3 linked regions of the Callithrix jacchus genome follow. The protein of the gene in region 2 interacts with the protein of the main gene of each other region in a pairwise test. Links are inferred from orthologs where the notes say so. Each region holds a gene or a part of one and is shown on either strand. Other genes may lie near its edges. The genes, in order: LATS1, LDOC1 and POLL.

Evidence for each region.
Region 1: the proteins of LDOC1 (region 2) and LATS1 interact in a two-hybrid assay, tested with the Homo sapiens proteins (2 studies listed by BioGRID and IntAct). The two-hybrid records come from large-scale screens. The link is inferred for Callithrix jacchus from reciprocal best matches to the Homo sapiens genes LDOC1 and LATS1.
Region 3: the proteins of LDOC1 (region 2) and POLL interact in a two-hybrid assay, tested with the Homo sapiens proteins (2 studies listed by BioGRID and IntAct). The two-hybrid records come from large-scale screens. The link is inferred for Callithrix jacchus from reciprocal best matches to the Homo sapiens genes LDOC1 and POLL.

Annotation. Positions count from the first base shown.
Region 1 is NC_133505.1:156,496,339-156,500,087, forward strand, and holds the start of LATS1 (serine/threonine-protein kinase LATS1), read right to left. Parts: upstream 2,630-3,749; 5' UTR 2,399-2,629; exon of another isoform or gene 2,053-2,398; intron 1-2,052. UniProt on the Homo sapiens protein: Negative regulator of YAP1 in the Hippo signaling pathway that plays a pivotal role in organ size control and tumor suppression by restricting proliferation and promoting apoptosis.
Region 2 is NC_133524.1:138,057,518-138,061,049, forward strand, and holds LDOC1 (protein LDOC1), read left to right. Parts: upstream 1-1,597; 5' UTR 1,598-1,727; coding exon 1,728-2,165; 3' UTR 2,166-3,002; downstream 3,003-3,532. UniProt on the Homo sapiens protein: May have an important role in the development and/or progression of some cancers.
Region 3 is NC_133513.1:94,543,102-94,546,850, reverse strand, and holds the start of POLL (DNA polymerase lambda), read left to right. Parts: upstream 1-1,052; 5' UTR 1,053-1,128; coding exon 1,129-1,274; exon of another isoform or gene 1,275-1,496; intron 1,497-1,866; exon of another isoform or gene 1,867-1,884; coding exon of another isoform or gene 1,885-1,910; coding exon 1,911-2,071; intron 2,072-3,452; coding exon 3,453-3,747; intron 3,748-3,749. Other genes in the region: protein DPCD, read right to left, coding at 901-964.

The sequences.
Region 1 (3,749 bases), on a different chromosome or scaffold from region 2:
CAGCTATTTTTTTGTATTTTTAGTAGAGATGTTTCACCATCTTTTTTTTTTTTTTTAAAGACAGGGTTTCACTGTATTGGCCAGGATGATCTCAATCTTCTGACCTTGTGATCTGCCTGCCTCGGCCTCCCAAAGTGCTGGGATTACAGGCGTGAGCCACCATGCCCAGCTACTCCGTAACTTTCAATGATTTTTAACCTAATCGTTAAAAGTAAGAGCTCTGGAATCAAACTGCCTGGGTATGACAAATCTCTATTTTTTTTTTGAGACGGAGTTTCACTCTTGTTATCCAGGCTGAAGTGCAATGGTGCGATCTCGGCTCACCGCAACCTCCGCCTCCTGGGTTCAGGCAATTCTCCTGCCTCAGCCTCCTGAGTAGCTGGGATTACAGGCACGCGCCACCATACCCAGCTAATTTTTTTTGTATTTTTAGTAGAGATGAGGTTTCATCATGTTGACCAGGAAGGTCTCGATCTCTTGACCTCATGATCCATCCGCCTCGGCCTCCCAAAGTGCTGGGATTACAGGCTTGAGCCACCACGCCTGGCCTTATTATTATTTTTTAAAGTTCAGACCCTCATCAAAAATACAAACGACAAACAAGTATCATCCATTAGTTTGTCCAACTTTGGAAAAAAACAGGTACCATTACATAAGATTGGGTTGAATTAAGTTTATCAGAAAGGTACCCTAGCTGGGTGCAGTAGTGCGCCTGTAGTCCCAGCTACTTGAGAGGCTGTGGTGGGAGGACTGTTCAAGCCCAGGAGTTGGAATCCAGCACAGGCAACATAGCGAGTCCCCATTTAAAAAAAAAAAAAGATGACTATGTCATAGCTTTGACCAGATCAGTAATAAGGACAGCAACAATAATATGTGCTGTTTCTTTTTTTAGCAGCATAGTCTCATTCGTATAAACAGCGATATTCAGGAAACTGGATACTGACATTTTCTTCTGTTCACTTTCTAATAATTGTGGGATCAAAAGTGAAAAATGCTGAAAAAGGACTGCTGCTTCTACTTGGTGGAAATGTTATTCAATGACTAACTTTTGTGATGTATAACAATCTCCCACTAATATAAATAAAACATCTAGAATAAATAACCAGAGTTAGAACCATTCCAAGACTATGTATACAGCATAACAAGGACTAGCAATAAAAACAAAAATAAAAACGACCTACACAATGAAAGCCAGATATTATACATTTAAAATACAGCCAAAAAAATTTTTTTTACTTGTTTTTGGAGAGCAACAAGTCATATTCAATCAATATTTAGGCACAGAATGTGCTGTTCCAGGAATGGACCATGATCTAGTTTCTTGCAGTAGCAGCCAATGGAACTAACACAATGCTACTTCTTTCACTGTTCAAACTCTTCCACTGCCTTAGGGAATCAACTACCCCATTTTACCATCAGAGATAAGCTTTGTTTTCGTAGCAGAGAACATTCATTCCAACTATAATGTCCTACCTTTTCTTCCTCATGAAGGAAAATGGATAAAAATTTTTAACCTTCAATAAACAATTCGTAAAGGTCTGACAAGCTTCATGATCACTAACATTCAAATTCATTTCCAAAACTGGAGTTATACAGTATTATTTCTGTGCAGGAGACTATACTTACTGTTCACAAGATTTATGAATAACTTCTGGAGGATGATATATGTTTTATAAGTTGTATTAACATATGAGTTGACAAACATTAAATTATGTTCCATTAGAAATTGACAGAGAAGTCAGAATGGGGATTAAGTCATCTGGAAGTCATTCATTGAGCTACAAGCCCTTTCAGGTTATAAAAAACGCTGTTCCCTAAATTGTCGTTCCTTCATTTTCTGTATTTATATACACACCCCTACTCCGTAAAGACCTCTCCACCTCTCCCACCATTTCCAACTATGAACAGTAACCTTTATCACATTGAACTAGAAATAAGAGACTCCCAGGATTTCTTCAAGATACACCCAGGATCAGAGCCCTCTGGGATTCAAAAAACTGTAGCTCTTTCACTGCAAATTTCCTTCAGAACCACCTTTCCCGTTCCTTCCCTGTGGACACCGCCGACCCGCGTTTGGGGGTGGGGTGGGAGACAGTCGGCGCAAGGCCGCCAGCAAGGTAGGCTCTTCCCTGCCCAACGTGCACTTCCGAGGCCGAAATGCCCGGGGCTCTTCCTGCAGCACCGGGCGCGGCCAACCCTCGCTTCCCCAGGGCAGGGCTCAGCTCAGGTCAATGCAACCAGCCCAGTCAGGCCCGGAGCGGGCCGCCGCGGCCCGCCAGTCCACAGCAACCTCTGGACCCCCGCCAGCGGGGATGGGCGTGGGCCCCAGCGGCCACCGCCCCGCCAACTCCAGCTCGGGAGAAGTGAGCCCCACCCGCTACGCCAGCCCCGGACCTACCTGGAGGGGAAAGGAGAGCTCCTGGACAGCGGCCACCGGCCCGAGGGCGGGCGCCTAGACGGCCGGAGCCCGTCCCAGCAACCCCAAGTATCCCTGGTGGGGCAGAGCGGGTAGAGACGCCGGAGGGCTGCCGCGGGCCACTGTGGCCCGTCGCGGGGGTCCCGAGGACCTGGCTCTCCCCTTAACACCAGGCCACTGCCGCCGCCGCCATTTTGCCTTCCACTCAATGTCGCCGCCGCCGCACTCCGTTGCAGGTTTCCCGGATGTGGGCATTTCCCGGCGTCGCTTGCGCGGGGGCCGAAGACTGGGGGCTTCTGCCCGCCCGGCAGCAGCTAGGGAGCGCGCAACCGAGGCCTCTGGGCCTCGTTGCGTGGCCCGCCGCTCAGAGCCTTCGTGAGCGTCGCCCCACGTCGCTCCCGCCTGCCCTGCCCAGAAGACTCGCCCGCGGCCGTGGGTTAAGGCTCTCTCCTGCCCAGCCCACTCGGTTGATTGAATCCTTTTTCCCATTGATCTCTTTCTCTGGACCGAGTAGGGATGCGCATTTCACGGAGCTTCGTTCTCCGAAGGGAACAACTGTTGAGTTGTTCTGGGAAACTTCGCTGTGGACCTCAAAATTCGAGTTTTGGCGCTTTGAAATAAAATTTTATTCTTGCTTAGCGTTCTTTCCCCGAACAAGCCCATGAGGTTCCAGCATCTGTATTTTCTGAATCAGCCAAGAAGAAGTTCTTGAGCCAGGACCGATTAGCAGAGTTTAGAGATCTGACCTGTCAACTGCATCCGTAGGAGGAGGTCGTTATTGCCTAACTGGAATAACGGTGACGGTGTGACAAGACAAGAGGTTTTACTTCTAGTAAAGTTGAATAGAAAATCTGGGATGGGATCACTGGGTTTGATGTGTAAGGTACTGTCCACCCTTTGTGAAGAGTGCCTTTGCCAGTTTTTCCTCTAGAAAATATAGTGTTTTCAAGTAACTTCTTTCGTAATTTTTCTACTATAGACTACAAAAAAATTACAGACGTCTTTTTCTGATGTTAAAGTAATAACTGGCTGCTTACTGTATTCAGAAATCCAAATGTGAAAACCTGTTAAAAGATTATGTTCCGCTGGCCATGGTGGCTCACGCTTGTAATCCCAGCACTTTGGGAGGCCAGGCAGGCGGATCACAAAGTCAGGAGTTCAAGACCAGCATGGCCAACACAGTGAAACCCCGTCTCTACTAAAAATACAAAAATTAGTTGGGCATGGTGGTGCACACCTGTAGTCCCAGCTACTCGGGAGGCTGAGGCAGGAGAATCTCTTGAATCAAGGAGGTAGAGGTTGCAGTGAGCCGCACCACTGCACTCCAGCTTAG
Region 2 (3,532 bases):
AACTTCTAATTTTTTTTTTCAGCATCAGCACTCTGAGCTTATTTTACTTGCCAAACATTAATGAAGCCTTGGCTCTGGGCCAGAATTTTTCTAGGCATTAGGGATACAGCAGGTAGCAAAGGCAGTGTTTCTTTGACACATATATTGCAAAATAGAAGCAGATGATGAGCAAAGTGCTATTTGACATGTTGGCCAGTAGCACAGTAAATGTTATGTAGATAAATGAAGCAGAGTCAAGGGTTAGAGATTGGTGGCAGAGAACAGGGTTCTCTGATAGGTCCGGTGGCCAGAAAAGTTCTCTTTGAAAGCAGTAGGTGAAGGAGTCAGGCAGCCAACTGGGACAAGTCTTGCAAGGCAGAAGGGGTAGAAGGTGCAAAGGCTACAAAGCCAGAACTACTTGACGTGTGTGAGAATCAGCAAGGACAGTGATTAGAGCATAGCAGAAAATGGGAAGAGGCATAGGATAGAAGGAAGGGCTTTGTAGACCTTGGCTGCAACTTTGCTCTTTATTCTGAGATGAAACTTGGATGATTTTGAGCAAGGGAGTGAAGGGATCTAATTTTTGTTTTAAATGATTCCCGTGGCTACTTTATGGAGAATATACTATAGGTAGAAAAAAGCGAAAGCTAAGTGATTAGTTGCAGCAGTGTGTGAGAAAGAAAGGCTGGGTGGGGATCAGGGTGGCAGTGGTAGAAATGGCAAGACATGATTGAATTGGCAATATATTTGAAAGCAGAGCCAATAATTCATGATAGCTCTAGGATCAGAGATCCATTTAAAGTAGAAAAAGAAAATTATTTATAAACACTCACATCTTCACAGTTCATTTTTAAGTAGAGAATAATACCCAGTGGCCAATGGCACTAGTAGCAGAACAAGAAATAGAGAATAAAATGTGTGGGATGCCTGCAATTGGTTATCGGATGCTGATTTTGCAGAACTTTTTATATCTTGCTATTTAGGTTTTTTTTTTTTTTAAGGTAGGTATATCATATTATTTCCCAATTAAATAAGTCACTGTTTAAATACTGCCTTTTTCATGAAAGGCAGGACCCCCTGAGGGTCTTCATGACCCTGAAAGGAAGTGTGACTTCCACAGTGCAGCCAGCAGTGTCAATACTTCGCTAAGTGAGATTTAAACAAGAAAGAAAATGTGTTAATAAAACATCGCGCCAAGAGAATTTAGTGGCCACAGACCCACGAAGGAACACTGAGTTGTGCGAGTTGGCTAGGTAGAAGAGTGGTTAATCTTTTCAGCTTGAACAAGTGTACCTTCTCTGAGACCGGATTCAGCGCTCGCCAGGTCCTCTGCTAATTCAGGCCCCACATCCAGGAGCTCTGACAGCCGACCGCAGCCTTTAACTGCCCGCCTAGAGGGCTACGACAAGCCGGTGGTTCAGCAACCCAGCGCATCCTAGTCCTAGCCAAGCCCTGTGTGTCTACACTCTTCCCATCCCGGCCACGCCCCCACGCTTCCGCGGCCCCTCGCCTGGCCACGCCCCTCCCGCGCCGCGCCGGCGCACCGTCCGTCCGAAAGGCCGCGTGGGCGGGGCTTGCGTAGCCTCCCGGACTCCGGCGCGCACCGCACCGCCCCCCCGCCCCCCGCCCCTGGCCCTCGCGCGCCTTGGTGGACAAGCACTTCCTGCGAGGCCTCCGTACGCACCTTGTCCGAGCCGAGCCGCACCGAGCCGCACCGAGCCGAGCCCTGTACTTCCAAGCCGTTCGCCATGGTGGATGAGCTGGTGCTGCTGCTGCATGCGCTCCTGATGCGGCACCGCGCCCTGAGCATCGAGAACAGCCAGCTCATGGAACAGCTGCGGCTGCTGGTGTGCGAGAGGGCCAGCCTGCTGCGCCAGGTACGTCCGCCAAGCTGCCCGGTGCCCTTCCCCGAAACGTTTAATGGCGAGAGTTCCCGGCTCCCCGAGTTTATCGTGCAGACGGCGTCTTACATGCTCGTGAACGAGAACCGATTCTGCAACGACGCCATGAAGGTGGCATTCCTAATCAGCCTCCTCACCGGGGAAGCCGAGGAGTGGGTGGTGCCCTACATCGAGATGGATAGCCCCATCCTAGGTGATTACCGGGCCTTCCTCGATGAGATGAAACAGTGCTTTGGCTGGGATGACGATGAAGACGACGACGACGACGAAGAGGATGATTACTAGGCCTTAGACCCTCAGGCCTAGCGGGGAGGGCCCTGCACGCCGCCACCCCCTCTCTCCAGCCCTCACCCCGCCGGGAGCCACTGTTCTCCGCCTTGCCCTCTGGTCCCCTTCCCTACTCGCGCCCTTCAGTTCTCTCTCTTCGTTTCTCCGTAGTGCTTGTCTTTGTTCCAGGAATAGTGCTCCATTTACCTGCTGCTGGGGTTGGGGCTGAAGCCTCACTCACTCGGAAATGCTTGGAAGTGTCATCTACCCTGGCCAGCCCCTGAATCCCTCCCCTGCTAATCCGAACTGTGTCCTGAGCCCCAGTTATTGGCCATGCCCCCATTATAAATTGGTCATACCACCCATAGCCCTGCTGCTGCCACCTACCCTACTGCCAGGCTTACATCTGCCCAGAGAACTATGCTGCCACTTCACATCCACTCACCACATCCCACCTACATACTACCGCCTTTCGAAGTAAGGACCAACCTGGAAGATGCCAGAGTTGGCTATACCTCTTCGGACATTGATTCGGACAGCTCACCAACCCATGAAGGGGCCAATCATTCAGCCTGGTTAGTTTTCTACCCACTCTGAGGGTCCTCCCATGCCCCACCAGATTGCTGCAGGGGCTTGGTGTGCCTGGCAGCCAAATTGTTGACATTTCTTTTTTCCTATGCATTGGTTTTACACAGCTGTCACTTTACTTTCAAAATTGCAGCAGTCCCCCAGATGTGTGCATTTGGACAAATAATACTAAGAACAAAGCAAGCACTCAGCCCAGCTCCTCAATACTACCTGGAAAAAGCATTGGCATTATTTTCAATAAATATCAAGCACTACAAAAAAAAGAAATGATTGTCTTTTAATGGTTAAGTGCTGTCACTGGCCTCCAACACTGTCACTCTGTCTACCATTATTCCCATGGAAATCAGGGTTCCCCGCTGTCATCTCCAGGCTGTTGGCGACAGCTACCTCAGGGCTCTGTCAGTGTTCTGATGTTCCCTTCACCAATGTATTTCATAAAGCCCTGGCAAAGGGTATGTCCTCTGGTTCCTCCAGAATGGCATGGGTAAGGCTTGGCTGAGCAGATGGCAAAGAGGCAGTATTAATAATTAGACCATAACAACAGTCATAAACCTGGAAGAGGGGGGAGAGAGAGAGAGAGAGATGTAATGCTCCCAATTATCTGAGCTTTCAGATTCCTTAACACTGTACCAGGGAAGTTCTGCCCCTTAATCCTTATTGCCTATGTGTAGCTGCTGAGTTCAGGCTCCAAATAGCCAACATAGTATATTGCTTTTATGTCACTCTCAGATGCTCCAGCTAACATTAAATCCTGGATCCTGGGCACGTGTACCCATAAAGATAAACCCTGATCTTAA
Region 3 (3,749 bases), on a different chromosome or scaffold from region 2:
GCCTTGACTGGCCTCTACCTGTGAATGTGAATCACCTGCTGTTATCTTCGAAACCTCAGGAACTTCAGACCCAATTCAACCTGGCTCCCCAGTGGGTCCAGAAAGGACCCAAGTGCACAGAGGGGCGACATCGGCCAATCCTAGGGTGGCAAAAAGTTAGGTATCCATGCCCCTGTGCCCACCTCTTCCAGGCACAGCCCTTGGTCCTTGCTCTAGCTCTCCTAAAGACACAGAAAACATTAAGAGGTTCACTTTAGGCCGGGAGTAGTGGCTCACGCCTGTAATCCAAGCACTTTGGAGGCCAAGACGGGCGGATCACCTGAGGTCGGGAGTTCAATACCAGACTGACCAACATGGTGAAACCCCGTCTTTAAAAAAAAAAAAAGACGTTCACTTTACAAAAATATTACAGCTGGAAAGGGCCTCAGTGGTAGCCCATCCACTTCATTTTACAGACGATGAAAGTGAGGTCCAAACAAATTAAAGGGCTGAAGAGCCCGTGGTGAATTAATGGCAGAGTCGGAACTACAGCCCAGGCCTCTTTCCTCTCTAAAGTCTGAAGCATTCTTGGAGTTCAGTTTCCTCTTCTGTAAAACGGGGTGAAAAATTAACCTCTCAGGACAGTGGTGAGGAGCAAATGAGATAATGAATGTGAAAGAAATTATTATATTAGCAACAAACTCAAAGCAGAGCGAGTTGGTGTAGAGGAATCTAATCGGTGTCCGGAGACCTGTGTTCCAGTCACGTCATCTCTGAGCCTCAGTCTCCTCATCTACAAATGCAGGGACCTGGCCCAGCTGACTGCCGAGACCCTTTCAGCTCTGCAGACCCTGAGGCCTTTCCTGTGGGGTGGACCCTGGGGGGAAAAAACGAGGGAGCTCGCGAGGGCTCTCGAGTTACCATCCTGCAGCAGCGCAGTCTTCTCGGCCGTCCGCAGACTCTCCAACCATCCCGTCACCGCCATCTTTCCTCTGCCAAGCAGCGCGCCCGGCCGCTGCCATGGCAACCGTTCCACTGAGGGTCACTTCCGGCTGACTCGGAAGCTATTCTGGGCATTTGCTCGCTTTTCCCCCTTCGTCCGCTCTCATTGGCTCTCCTGGTAAGTGATTTATTCCTGCCCACCTGCGAATGATCAGCTTGGCCAGTTGTCTAACCCACCCGGGGACCGACTTCGGGGGTTGGAGAGGGACTCTTGGAGCCTGGGTCGGGCGCTGCAGCTTTCCTCTAGCCCGGAGCTGGGATTCCCCGGCCTGCGCCAGCTGCGTACGCGTCGGGTACAGCACACCTGCCCGGGTCTTCTCCATCCCCAGCTGCGAGACTGAGACTCCTCCAATCCGGAGGGTGCCTCACACCTGCTGCGGCCGTGCCCTATCTCCCCGCAGCTGTGGGGCTGAGCACCCCCGTGCCGAGAGGCTGAGACCAGGGCAGGTGCAGGGCGTTCCCACTCACCCCCGAAAGTCCCCCTCCTTAGGTTTTCCTCTGCAACTGTGTTGAAGGTAGAGAAAGATTATGTGGGGTTTATGGTGCAGGTTCTCCCCAGTCTCCGCTCCACTCCCTAGCCCAGTATCCCATTTTGGTAAAGCCCTTCAGAAGGGGGCTGCAGCAGTAGGGCTGTGCTGAATCTTTAGAGCAACCCCAGTGAGGAATGGTGTTGTTTCCTGCTCCTCAAAAGTACCCCCAATGGTCCCAGTCTTCTCATTTCCCCCTAATACTCCGAAAGACTAATACTTTGAAAGGCTGGGGAGTGGGAAGCTAGGCTACACCAGTGAAGTTTAATGGGGTTTGAGGAGACCCCCCCCCAGCACTGTCTCCCCGAACTGGGCTGCTATCCCTAAGGCCTAGTCAGGGAACACCCTACCTCCACAGGCAAATAGGTTGGAGAGCATGAATTTTGAATTTCCACATGACAGCTGCCCTGGTCAACCCTCTGACAGACCGAGATCTAGCCGTACTTCAATGGATCCCAGGGGTATCTTGAAGGCATTTCCCAAGCGGAAGAAAATTCATGCCGATGCATCATCAAAAGTACTTGCAAAGATTCCCAGGAGGGAAGAGGGAGAAGAAGCAGAAGGTGAGTTAACCGACCCTCAGAACCCTCATTCCCTTGAACCCTCAGCCTTCATGTGCTTCAGCCCTACGTTGTTCATGTCCAGAATCAGATATTGGAGCTGACTTTGCCTGTCCAGGGCTTGCAGGTCTGTTTGTACCTGCTTTGTACTAAGCTTGGTCCTGGGTCTTGGACAGGCCATTTGCTGTGTTATCTTCTTTTCTACCCAAAGACCTCTATAAATCAGAAAGGACTCCCTGGACTCTCAGGGAATGACCAGTAGAATTTTTGCCTTGGGGGACAAGCAGAAATCCCCTCCATTACCCAGGTTTGATGTTAGTTGTTTTGCAGGCAAATTGACAAATAAATGGCAGAGGCTTTGGGGACAGGATTGTCAGGTCTGGCAGACTGTAAGGGCAAGAAACATGTAATGGCAAGAAATATGTGCTTTGTTGAAAGAATAAATGGTAAGGGATTCAAAGTAAGGAGGGAAGCGGAGTGTGGCGGCTCATGCATGTAATCCCAGCACTTTGGGAGGCTGAGGCAGGCAGATCACCCGAGCTCAGGAGTGTGAGACCAGCCTGGGCAACATGGCAAAATCCCGTCTCTGCTAAAAATACAAAAAATTAGCCAGGTATGGTGGCACACACCTGTAATCCCAGCTACTTGGGAGGCCAAGGCACGAGAATTGCTTGAACCTGGAAGATGGAGGTTGCAGTGAGCTGAGATCATGCTACTGCATGCACTCCTGCCTGGGCGACAGAGTGAGCCTATCTCAAAAAAAACAAAAACAAACAAAGTAAGACGGGAGGAGGCATTAATTCAACAGATATTTGCAGGTTACTTACAATGTGCCAGACACTTCTAGGTTGCACCAGGAAACAGGATGTATCCTTGTCCCGGGTGGGCGAGGTGGCTCATGCCTGTAATCCCAATACTTTGGAAGATCAAGGTGGGCAGATCATGAGGTCAAGAGATCGAGACCACCCTGGCCAACATGGTGAAACCCCGTCTCTACTAAAAATACAAAAATTAGCTAGGCATGGTGGTGCATGCCTGTAATCCCAGCTACTCGGGAGGCTGAGGCAGGAGAATCACTTGAACCCAGGAGGCGGAGGTTGCACTGAGCTGAGATCACACCATTGCATTCCAGGCTGGGCAACAGAGTGAGACTCCATCTCAAAAAAAAAAAATTTTTTTTTTTGTCTCTTACATTCAAGTGCTGGCCTGTGAGAAAATTTGCTATATGTAGAAGGGAAACTGGATGGAAGGGAAATGCTTATTTTCAGGGTAGGAGACTGTAAACACTTCATTCAGATCATGTTAGATGTTATGTTGTAGCCAGGGGGTGGCAGATAAAAATAAAAATGTTACGACAGTAGTCATCTGGATATTCCTTCCACAGAGTGGCTGAGCTCCCTTCGGGCCCATGTTGTACGCACTGGCATTGGACGAGCACGGGCAGAACTCTTTGAGAAGCAGATTGTCCAGCATGGTGGCCAGCTATGCCCTGCCCAGGCCCCAGGTGTCACTCACATTGTGGTGGATGATGGCATGGACTATGAGCGGGCCCTCCGCCTTCTTAGATTACCCCAGCTGCCCCAGGGTGCTCAACTGGTGAAGTCAGCCTGGCTGAGCTTGTGCCTTCAGGAGAGGAGGCTGGTGGATGTAGCTGGATTCAGCATCTTCATCCCTAGTAGGT